Oryzias latipes: one gene and its partners. The protein of the gene in region 2 interacts with the protein of the main gene of each other region in a pairwise test. Links are inferred from orthologs where the notes say so. Each region holds a gene or a part of one and is shown on either strand. Other genes may lie near its edges. The genes, in order: map2k2, cops5 and gfer.

Evidence for each region.
Region 1: the proteins of cops5 (region 2) and map2k2 interact in a two-hybrid assay, tested with the Homo sapiens proteins (2 studies listed by BioGRID and IntAct). The link is inferred for Oryzias latipes from reciprocal best matches to the Homo sapiens genes COPS5 and MAP2K2.
Region 3: the proteins of cops5 (region 2) and gfer interact in a two-hybrid assay, tested with the Homo sapiens proteins (2 studies listed by BioGRID). The link is inferred for Oryzias latipes from reciprocal best matches to the Homo sapiens genes COPS5 and GFER.

The regions. Positions count from the first base shown.
Region 1 is NC_019862.2:7,813,776-7,817,932, forward strand, and holds the start of map2k2 (dual specificity mitogen-activated protein kinase kinase 2), read right to left. Parts: upstream 2,874-4,157; 5' UTR 2,210-2,873; coding exon 2,121-2,209; intron 1,950-2,120; coding exon 1,739-1,949; intron 694-1,738; coding exon 547-693; intron 470-546; coding exon 392-469; intron 305-391; coding exon 253-304; intron 1-252. UniProt on the Homo sapiens protein: Catalyzes the concomitant phosphorylation of a threonine and a tyrosine residue in a Thr-Glu-Tyr sequence located in MAP kinases. Activates the ERK1 and ERK2 MAP kinases.
Region 2 is NC_019878.2:17,008,799-17,013,083, reverse strand, and holds the start of cops5 (COP9 signalosome complex subunit 5), read right to left. Parts: upstream 2,845-4,285; 5' UTR 2,696-2,844; coding exon 2,559-2,695; intron 2,479-2,558; coding exon 2,244-2,478; intron 1,684-2,243; coding exon 1,555-1,683; intron 1,179-1,554; coding exon 1,113-1,178; intron 883-1,112; coding exon 797-882; intron 651-796; coding exon 539-650; intron 1-538. Other genes in the region: cspp1 (centrosome and spindle pole-associated protein 1), read left to right, coding at 3,916-3,975, 4,098-4,178, 4,264-4,285. UniProt on the Homo sapiens protein: Probable protease subunit of the COP9 signalosome complex (CSN), a complex involved in various cellular and developmental processes.
Region 3 is NC_019866.2:17,934,919-17,937,838, forward strand, and holds gfer (FAD-linked sulfhydryl oxidase ALR), read right to left. Parts: upstream 1,659-2,920; 5' UTR 1,472-1,658; coding exon 1,319-1,471; exon of another isoform or gene 1,316-1,318; intron 1,187-1,315; coding exon 975-1,186; intron 902-974; coding exon 739-901; 3' UTR 574-738; downstream 1-573. Other genes in the region: drg2 (developmentally-regulated GTP-binding protein 2), read left to right, coding at 1,982-2,045.

The DNA of each region.
Region 1 (4,157 bases), on a different chromosome or scaffold from region 2:
CAAAGCAGCGACTGTTCCTTCACACCAGCAGGGAGGTTCCTCCTAAGAGGAGCCTCCATCTCAAACGTCTGGCCGCTGTTTTCCTCCCAGATTCAAAGGTGTGATCTGACATTTGGACCGTTGGTTCTGTTCACGCGGTGGTGCTCCGGTTGCATCATGATAATGGTTCTACCGTCATATTAGGAGGAGCCAACGAGCGTATGAGGACAGAAGAGCAGACATGATGTTTGTCGGTGTTGGAGGCGTGGTTACCTCTGTGCATGATCTGGTGCTTCTCCCGCAGGTAAGCCAGCCCCCTCAACACCTGCCAACGACACAGCAGAGAAGATCCAGCAGCAGAACAAACCCATTCCAGAGGAACAGACCCCCCCCCCCAGCCACAGGCTCTTACCGCTATGCTGACTTTTCCAAGAATCTCCTCAGGGATTCTCCGGGCTTCCTTTAGGACCTGATCCAAGGATCCACCATCCTGTGGAGACAGAAGACGTGGATGAGAACCTCAACCAGCAGGACGTCTTCAGGGATCCTGGAGGCTCAGAGTCTCACCATGTGCTCCATGCAGATGCTGATCTCTCCATCGCTGTAGAAAGCCCCGTAGAAGCCCACGATGTAGGGGGAGTTGCATTCGTGGAGCACCTGCAGCTCCCTGATGATCTGGTTCCTGATGGCAGGTTTGATTTCCAGGTGGATTAGCTAAAGGAGGGAAGAGGTGGAACAGTGTGGGAGTTGTCTGCAGGACCATAGACACTTGCAGTACCTCAGTGGAACGTCTGGATGGTTTCTGAGGGGGCGTGCATCACTGTGGGGGCAGCAGATTCAGCAACACGACCCACCGCCCCTCCACTAACAACTACAGGAAACTAAGTCTTCTGATGGAACTTGGAGGCCTTGAACAGCCTGAGGAAGAACGTCTAACCAGTCTGAGGATCTCGTGAGTGTCAGCCAGAGACCGAGTCCTGTCCCGTCTGCAGCAGGCGCAGACCGAGTCCTGTCCCGTCTGCAGCAGGCGCAGACCGAGTCCTGTCCCGTCTGCAGCAGGCGCAGACTGAGTCCTGTCCCGTCTGCAGCGGTCGTGTTTTATCTGCCACTACAGATCAGTTGCATTCATCTGCGACAGCCACAGACAAGTCAAGTCCCGCCTGCAGCAGCTGAAGCAGACTTGTTGTGTCCTGTCTGCAGCAGCAAGAGACCAAGTCATGTCCCATCTGCAGCAGCCAGAGACCAAGTCGTGTCCCGTCTGCAGCAGCCAGAGACCAAGTCGTGTCCCGTCTGCAGCAGGCGCAGACCGAGTCGTGGCCCGTCTGCAGCGGTCGTGTTTTATCTGCCACTACAGATCAGTTACATTCATCTGCGACAGCCACAGACAAGTCAAGTCCCGCCTGCAGCAGCTGCAGCAGACTTGTTGTGTCCCGTCTGCAGCAGCCAGAGACCAAGTCCTGTCCCATCTGCAGCAGCAAGAGACCAAGTCGTGTCCCGTCTGCAGCAGGCGCAGACCGAGTCGTGGCCCGTCTGCAGCGGTCGTGTTTTATCTGCCACTACAGATCAGTTACATTCATCTGCGACAGCCACAGACAAGTCAAGTCCCGCCTGCAGCAGCTGCAGCAGACTTGTTGTGTCCCGTCTGCAGCAGCTGCTGGTAACTTTGCAGTGCAGAAAAAATTGGGCGGGCTTTGGGAGAAAGTCAGGCTTCAGATTCCAGAATTGCCTTCTTCACCAAACCGTCAGATGAGGTCCTCACCTTGCGGGCCATGACGAGACCCGAGGGCTTGTGGCGGACCTTGTTGACCACGCCCCCGTTTCCTGCCCCCAGCTCACAGATGGGTTCGAAGTCTTCGTCCTTCAGCTCTCCCACCTGAGCCTTCTGGGTGAGGAAGGCCTCCAGACGCTTCCTCTGCTGTTCATCCAGGTCCAGCTCTCCCAGCTTCTTCTGTAAGGCCTCTAGGTTGGCTCTGGGGAAGGGTGTGTGTGTGTGTGTGGGGGGGGGGGGGTCAAAGTACAGATAGAGACAGTTTACACCCCCCTACAGATGATAGATCTGTGCAAAAGAGTGCCCCCTGCAGATTCAGGGTACTGCATGATCTGCATAAAAATGTAAATTGTTAACCCCCCCCGGGACTCACTCGGACGCAGCATCGATGGTGTTGGACGTGGTCTGTCCCTCCCCGATGGGTGTGATGTTCAGGGGAACGGGTCTCCTTTTGGGGGCCATTTCAGGGAATCGTTCCCGCACGGTTCCTTCCGGCAGCGAACAGTCAGTGCGGCCGCGCGGCACCTCTTCCTTGTTCGGCGCTCGTGAGCGGCTAATAAGTTTCCTGGCTAACGTTAGCTTTCACTTCCGTTAGGGGGGGGGCATGTCAGTGTAGCTCAGAGAAAGCGACCATCAGGAGAACCGTTCTCCTGAGAACCGCGGAGGATCTGGATTTTCTAGATATCTATCTGCTGCTAGCCATTAGCTGCTAGCAGGTCGCGCCAGTCCCTCAACAAACGTCCGAGTCCCGACACGCAGCAGCAGCTCCCCCCGCGTCCAAGAGTCACCTGCGGCCGAGGTTCGAAAAGGCGGCGCCCACTTCACCACAGCCTCCAAACTGTAGTTCGTCCTGGTTTCAGTCCGCGAGGAACGACTGCTGAACGCGCGTGGCTCCGCTCCTGACCCCGGTGCCTCAATACAGGAAGCAGCAGCTGCCTACGGCGATGGGGCTGTGGTACAGCGGCGAACCCGCTGAGTGACAGATTACCAGAATCCCAGTGGAAGTCGAAGTGCGGGTGCAGGGACATAAAGGTTTTTCTAAGGCTCGCGCGGCGCTGAGGAGGGGTTTGGTCGGACACCAAACTGCAGCTTTTCTGCGCGTTTATGTCCGCAGACAAACAGGCTTCTTGGGAAACACCGCCATCCCGCGGCCAAAGAGAGAAGTGCAGTCATGCAAAGAATGTCACAGAATATATGGAAGCATTTGTGTAGCATAATCAAAAATAATCGTCAAAACCAGAAATGCTTTTTCATTTTCAAAATGAAGCTGCATTTTTTGACTCAAAAGCAATCCACCAAAATTCTTTTTCATTTTCTTCTTCAACACTGCATGTTCTTACTCAATTCAAATGATATTGACCGAATGTGTAGCAAAATTCATTTAGAAATGTCTAATTTGACAATTAAAATGGATTTACAGATATGCTTTTTAATTTTCAAAAGGTAACTACATCTAATGACTCAAAAATAAAATGAAAAATCAATACTTCAAAATGCTTTTTCATTTTCAACATAAAAACCACTTATTCTGTGTCATTATTTAAACAAATAAGCAAAGGGGGGATTGCATTTTCATTTTAACATCCACCCTGCAAATATTTTGCTACACATTTACCAGAGAACCTTTTGAAAATGAAATGTCAAATAATATTTTCTTTATCCTTTGAATTAAGTGACAGAATGAGCAGTGAAGAAGAAAAAGAAGTTTGGTGGATTGCTTTTTCTTTTTGCAGCTTCATTTTGATAACGAATAAGCATTTCTGGTACTTTATTTTTAATTGTGCTATAGAAACACTTCTATAAAGGGGTGCTGGCATCTTAATGCAGAAAATCATCTATTGTGTAAATGTAATTTCAGCTAATTGACCGGTTTGCCTTTCGGCTTCAGCCCATCAACCCTGCAGTTCTGGAGACTTTGACTTTTCAAACGTAAACTTCAGAAGATTCATCAAACGTGTTTTTCATAGAGACTCAGCTGCACACATCTCCAAAGAGCAGATCTCTGCTGAAGTTTGGTGCCATCATGCAAACGTCTCAGCAGGTTTTCAGAAGACGGCGGCGTTTCATCCGAGATAAATTAGAGGATGAACAGTCAGCGCTGCAACCAAAACCACCCGTTTAGTGAAGCAAACCTAGAGCAGTTCAGTCTGAACCTGATAGACCACAGCTGACGCTTCTTTAGGATGGAGGAGACACAGAAAAAAAGAGAAGGAACCACTGGAGTAGGAGCAAATGCCTCCTGAAGGTGGGCAGCTCCTCCCAGAGCAGAAGTTGAGACTCAGGTCACACAGTTCCAGAAAAGAGGCGAAGATGTTTTTTAAGAACAGATTTTATTAATTCAACACGTCAATAACAGCTGTTAGAATACATTTCTTTATGTTACAGTTTCATCGTCCTGAACAGACTCACA
Region 2 (4,285 bases):
GAAAAGAAGTCATGGAGAAGTTTGCTTAAGGTGAGGCTGTGTTTATAGTAGAGCAGGTAATTAAAACACAATGCCATGGGGGGGGCCTGACTAGGGTGACAGTGTAGCAACTGACAAAGCCCGTCACCTACTGAGCAGCTCCTTCTTGACATCTAGTCAATACATCTTCATCCAGAATGCCAGCGAGTGAACTGTTTAGATAAGCCTGGTGTCTATTTAACCCAGCTCAGGACCACAATGCAAATTCATGTGACGGCCTTTCAGTCTTTAGAAAAAACTGTGCTCGAGGGGCGGGGGGCTTCTGGATGAGTGGAGTCAAGTCCAACTTTAATACCCATCATCTTCTTCTGCTCCAAAGTTCACAAAGACCTTATTACTAAAAACAATAAACAAGCAGGGCCAGCTAAAAAGCAGCAATAAATCAACACATCACAACATGTTGACTCCATGTCTGAATGAGTTATAGAGTAATAATTAACCATAAATCAAAATGTCAAACAATTAGTGAACATTTTGAGTTTTGAGGTGGCTTACATACCGTAAGAAGGCTGGAGGAACTTAAGGTATTGACCCAATATTTGTTCCAAAGGAGTTCCAGGAGCTTTCGATCCAGAGAAGACTTGAAGTAAGTCACCTCCAAGGCGTAATATCTGAATAGAGACAATCATAAAGAGTTGAAAAAAAAGATAATTCAGGAGCATGTTAAATATATGCATCTTTGATACATAAAGTTTTGATAAATAAAGTTTGATTGATTGATTTATTAAGAGTGGTTTAGTGCTTTAAATTTACTCACTGTTTACAATGAACACCAAAGTCTTCTATCTTGTTCAGCGGGATTGTTTGATATTCTGATGGTCCTTCATCTGGAGGTTTGTAACCCTGAAAATCCACAAGGAAAATGTTAAAAAATAATACAAAATAAAAAAAAAGAATTAGCACATTTGTTTAATCATTAACAAGTAAACAAATTAAGACATTCTGATGTATATTTATGACAAATATTTATTCAGATCCCTCCTAAAAAAACTAACATCAACGATTCGAACTTAAAATTTAATTTATGACTTCAATAAGTCATAACACCATGTTTCTCTTGGTCTTTGCTGTACCTTTGGGTATGTTCTGAAGGCACCTAGATTGACTTTCCCTGCAGAAATAGTCCGAGTGGGGTCGATCTGTAGGACACAAGATACAGTAAAACAGGAAAACAAAGTCAAAGGTCGGAATCCTCCAGAGACCACTGGAATCAGTTCACTAGGAGCCTTTTTCCCGCAGCTGTCAGTGTGAAAAAAACACACACTTAATTATACGACGCCCCTGGCGTCGAAGCCCTGCTGAACTAAAGGACGTGTAAATAGCATATGGGGTTGCAAAAGGAAAATAGTCAGTAGTGCAATGCCAAAACATGCAGTGAATGCATTAATAGATTTTCATTTACGTTCTTGTAATGTTTTTTTTTTAAAGACGAAACAGGAACTTTCCTCCTCATTTTTTAAAAATTCCACTAGCAGGAAATTACATTAAAATAACGTTATAAAAGTTTATACGTACAACAACAGCAACAAAAGGCTCCTGAAACTGCTGGTTGAGCATCTGAGTGCTCACGTCGATCCCTGACAGCCAGCATCCGTAACCCGGGTGACTGTGGTACCAGCCAATGGCATTCTCCAAACGGCCAACCTGGGGGGTTAAAAAGATAAATATAACAAAATTATTCATAATTATTTATAATACAATATTATAAAGTGTTTATTGTTTAATACAATGAAAAGGTTTTACTAAATCTGACGTGGCTTGCTTAGTTTCTAAAAAATACGGAAACTATTTATGAAAGGAAATAGACAGACTTCAATAGGTCAGTCGGGGATAGAAGTTATTTTTAAGCTTTTAAAAACAAAAAAATGAATATTATAAATGCTCTGCTATCCCCAAAGATAACTGGAAACAGCGGGACAGCAACTCAAGAAAATCCAGGCTGGACTTATTCCGGCTACCTGTAGCCCACCAAAAAAAAAAAAAGAAGAACAGTCATAACGACAATAGAAACTAAATAAAAGATTAGAACACTTCAATAGACATATTGACATACTGAACACAGAACCTATGACTAATAAATCTTAATAAGAGACAGTTTTTCAACAATTCCACCAGGAACTGTGTAATCTGTCAAGAAGAAGTAATTGCTGCTGTGTCATTTCAGTGTTGGTGTATGTTTTTACAATAAAATAACATGATCCCACCTGTTTGGCGTTTTCAATGTAGGCAGCCATGTATTCGTATGCTGCAGCCTGCGCGTTCACCCTGGTTTCTGTTCCCTCCACAGGCAAAGCGAAGCTGTCCATGATGATCATGGTCTCCCCGTCCACCTTCCCCAGCATGAGACCCATCACCTCCAGGTTCCCCCCTGACCTGGCATGCATCACCATCTTCAGCAGGGCCAACGCGGAGATTTTGCAGTACTTGAAGTAGTGGTGACTAATGATTTGAGAAAAAGAAAACACAATTAGTTTACGCGACACAACAAATAGGAATGAAGTCAATCAGGTTGAAAGTACTCTTTTGTCCACGGCTTCGCCGCGAGGATTTCTTGTTGTTGTTTTTTGTCGTATTTGTAAATTTCATCGATGCTCTGGACTTCCTGCATGCTGTTCGACAGCTCCCACGTTTTCTGAGCTGTACTACTTCCAGCCATGATAAAGTGTCAATTCAAAATACGAAGAATAAGCGTTTCGAACGTCAGTGACAACAACACAAACAAAGAAATTGTGTATATCCGTCTAAAGTAACAGGGCCAGACGTTCTCTTGCAACGGCAGCCATGACAGGGAACGATACCAAAACAATGACGTCGAAAGATTGAACCTTTCTTTGTTGATTTGGAAAAATACAAAAGTCGAAGTTTCGTATCTTTATGTATTAAAATGGATCATTAATAATATATTGAAAAAATCAATACAATTTATGTAAGAGTTAAAAGTTCTGCTAAATGTACCCATCAATTCTGGTACTGTCACCCCTCTGATAATGGTTTAGTCCAAAAGAGACGTCAGCAGACACTTGAGGATGCACTGGCATCTAGCGGTGAGACTTGTAAAAAGCAGACAGGTTTGAGAATATTTTTTATCCTGTTTTTAGAACTTTGTTTTTTATTTAATGCATTGTATATCTAATAAAGACCCTAATGGGAGATAACAGTTATTAATGCTGCAAAAAAAAAAACTTCTCGAAAAAACACATTAGCGAACGTCATTGGTCAAGAGTAAAGGTAAAACATCAATGTTACTTCGTGTTTGTCATCTTATAAAGCTTAGAAAGCACGTTTAGGATTTTCAAAGATATTTTTATTGAAATGCGATTAAGTTTGTATGATTACCACATAAACTTTAGATATACGGAGTTTTTTGTGGTTTCGTGTTTGCTAACTTCTTTAGCCTGTGCCAACCTTTGTGTCACGGTTGCCCATAGCAACGCTTGCTGCGTTGCCATTTTAGTGCGGCGAAAACATTCAGAATAGTCATAAAAATGTCTAATTAATTAAGTATGTATCCTTTAGAGTTAGAGTTTCATCTAAGGTTTCATTTTTATAGCTTTGTTCACTGCCAGGTTGTGCTGTTTGAGTTTATAATGGAAAACACCTAACTTTCAATTTGCATGCACCTGTATGCTGAGAAAGTTCTTGAATCTGACCTTGGACAACTAACTTTCTGTATGAATGTTTTTCATCATTTGCAGGTGATGTGCATTTTGTAAAACTCTAGCATCCACAAAATATGGAACCATATAGCTTATCATAAACAAGATGAAGTATTTGTGGTAGTTTTAATTTTCAATCAGTCCAATTATACTGGCTATTTATTTGCTATGTTTTTCTCTCTCTCTAGGTTTTAACTGAGGCTTAGTATCAGAGCGTGAAATGGAGGAACAGAAACCTCTTCTGGATCTGCGGCTGGACTTCAAATATCATGCAGCCAAGGTCAGATATCATACGATTATTATAGGATCATTTAAAGAGAATTTTTGTTGACTGTGTTACCTCTGATTCTCCATTCTGCCAACTTATTTTTCTATTTTTTATTCTTACATGTACCTTTTAAGGAACACGATTTAAAAACCTGTGAACCTCATCCACAACACCAAGGGCTTTCCTTACCTATTGATGATAGAGCATCCATAAAGGTGTGTCCTTGTGTGCACTATTTTTTTTTTTATATTGCCTTGTTCATACCTTTTATTTATTTATTTTGGGGTTTTTTTGCAACAGAAAAGACTGAGAGACGAGCTGA
Region 3 (2,920 bases), on a different chromosome or scaffold from region 2:
CTTTCTTTCTTTCTCAGGATGTACCACACTGTTGATTTTGCCACTCCTGATACTGTAGCAATTTATGACATGGTTTTTTTTCTGTTTTCTCAGCTTAATGATGGCTCATTTCACCTGCATTGAGAGCTCCTTTGACCACATGTTGTCTGTTCACAGCATAATCTAAAATGCAAGCACGAGTCCTCCAATCAACTCCAGGCCTTTTATCTGCTTCACTCATAATGACATGACAAGGGAATTGCCCACACCTGCCCATGCAATAGCATGGAAGTCAATTACTTACGAGCCCATGAAATGAAGGTATTGTTTTAAAAATGCTTTAGTTTTTCACATTTTTATGTTAAGTCTGCACTTCAATGGCAGCCTGATTTCATTTAGATAAGTACATGTTTAGGAGAACAAACAAAATAATTTTCATAAGAAGTAAATGTTACATTTAGAATACTGTGTTATTTTGGCCCAACCTCTTTTTTACCACTGATCACAAATTAAGTCAATCTACAAACTGGATTTCCTTAAAAGATAATTCTGGCTACATCAGATGGATGGGTTTTTAATCAAAAAAGGACTCCATTCTTTTTGTCCAGGCTTTTATTTGAAAGCAACAATAATTATGCCATCTAAACACAAAGCAAATAGTCACATGATTCACAAACACAAAAGCTACTGAGGAGGTTTGCGGTCCGGAGTTGTTTTTTTTCCTTCATAGCAGCTGCATCCCTGAATCCTTCAGCTCATTCAGTCGCAGGAGCCATCTTTCCAGCCATCCTTCCATCGCTCATCCACGCGCGAGCAGTCAAACTCTGGCTTTCCCAGACGTGCGTTCACGTCGTTGTGAAGATGACAGAGCCACTGGGAGAGTGTGCTGCGGTTGCTGGTCTCCGGCTGATTGGTTTTCAATCTGCAGAGAAGATATTGTAAATTTATTGAGTATTCAACTAAAAATAATTGGGATAAACATTTAAGGTATCTACCTATTTCTGAGGTCTTCTGCACAATCTTCACAGGGATAAAAATGGGAGAAGAGGTTGATGAACTGTTTCATTTCCTGCTGTTGAGTCGATGATGGTTGATCAGGGTAATATGCCGCCATCGTGTGCAACAAGGACCAAGAGTTTCGCCCCAACTCTTCCCTGTCCAGGGGACACTGTGGGTCTTGGTGCTCCACTTCTGCAGCCTGGCTTTCCTGCAGGACACAGATACATACAGGATTCGCCTAAAGTATTACACAGTAACACCATTTTGAAAACAACGAACAACTGGGTCAGCCCAATGGACTATTTGTTTTATCAATAAAGTTTTAGCAATTTTGACTCACATGATGTAAAGCCACGGACTGCTGTTTCTGCTGCTTCATCCACGATTTAAAGTCCGTACAGGTTCTACATGGCTTCTTTTTCCCATCCCGGCTCTGCTCCTGCTCTTTAAGGTTGGGAACTGAAGGTTGACGGCTGTCAGGTGGCGCAGCCATCTTCGCTCCGTGAATAATTACCTAACTTCCAATCCTCACCGGACCGCTGTTTTTATACTTATCTGGAATATATAGTTGCCAGAATTTTGAATTAGGTCAACACAAAGACTAATTGTAATTTGGTGACATTTCTGTCATTGAACAGACGGTGTCGACTAAGGTAGCTACGTAGGTGTGAAAGTTTCGCAAGATCTTTTGTTTCTTCCGGACTTTTTAGAGCGCAGGACCGTTTTCCGGTCGGCCGGTTTTACTTGCGTGCAGCAGTCTCTCCTCTGTTAGTACCTTTTTTCCCCTTATCGTTTATAGGTTAATATTTACCACTGTTTGTGCCTTTTAAAAATGCTCATACAAGCCTTCAAATGTCTGTAGATTTTGTCATATAATTTTTTTCAACTTCTGTTTATTTTAGTTTGGTTTGCTAACACAGCTAACCAGAAGTGGCGACACGTTTTTGTTGTCATTTATTTCTTCTGTTTTGACAGAGAAACCGCAGCCGACCTGAACAACAACATGGGTATTCTGGAAAAAATTGCAGAAATCGAGAAAGAAATTTCTCGGACACAGAAAAACAAAGGTAAAAAAAGAGTTGTCACGTAGCTACATTAGAAAACTGAGCCAGCTGCGCATTTTTGAGGCTCTTTCTGGGGTGTACTGGCAAGTTGCTACAACAATCTGCTGCTTTTGAGGAACTTCAATGCTCAGTCTTGAAAACTAGAGAGAAATAAGTTTGGTTTTAGAAGCAAAAAATACTTGTAGTTATAATCTTACACTATATGTGTTACATTTAAATATCAATGTCACACAATAAAGGAATAATCTTCATATAAAATGAGTAAACAAACTGCCTTTAAAGAAAAAAAAATTCCAAGTGCTATTAATGACTAGAAAAGGGATTGTTACATTATTACTCACCTTTTTAGTCTCATGTAAGTTATAAATATGATAAAATGGGTATGTATTTACTAAAGTTACTCAGTTTGCCATTGACGTGTATACATATGTCTAGTAGGGGTGTATATTATATTAGCAAGAGTCTGGCGTTACGATGCACAATACACCTCTCCCAATACAAAATACATCACAATATAATTTACGTCTCCCTTGTTCTCGTCTGGAGCCCACTTACAAGGCACCACAATCCGCGTTTTTATACGGTACTGGCAGCAATGTGTCACAGAGTTTCGACTCGGTACCCATCCCAAGCAAAGACTAAGTAGTACATGTCTCATAACAACAAAAACTGCAAGGCTGACTGAGAATTCAGCATTTAACACAAGCTGCTTCTTGTTGTTTTCGTGCGGTGTAGAAGAGCTGCTCAAAGAGAAAACCCACTCATACACGGGGAGATTATGCAAACTCCGTACAGAAAGGTACGAGCTGGGATTCAAACGCGGGCCTTTCACTGATTCGAGAGTGCCAACCACTGCACCACCGTGTAGTCACCTCAGC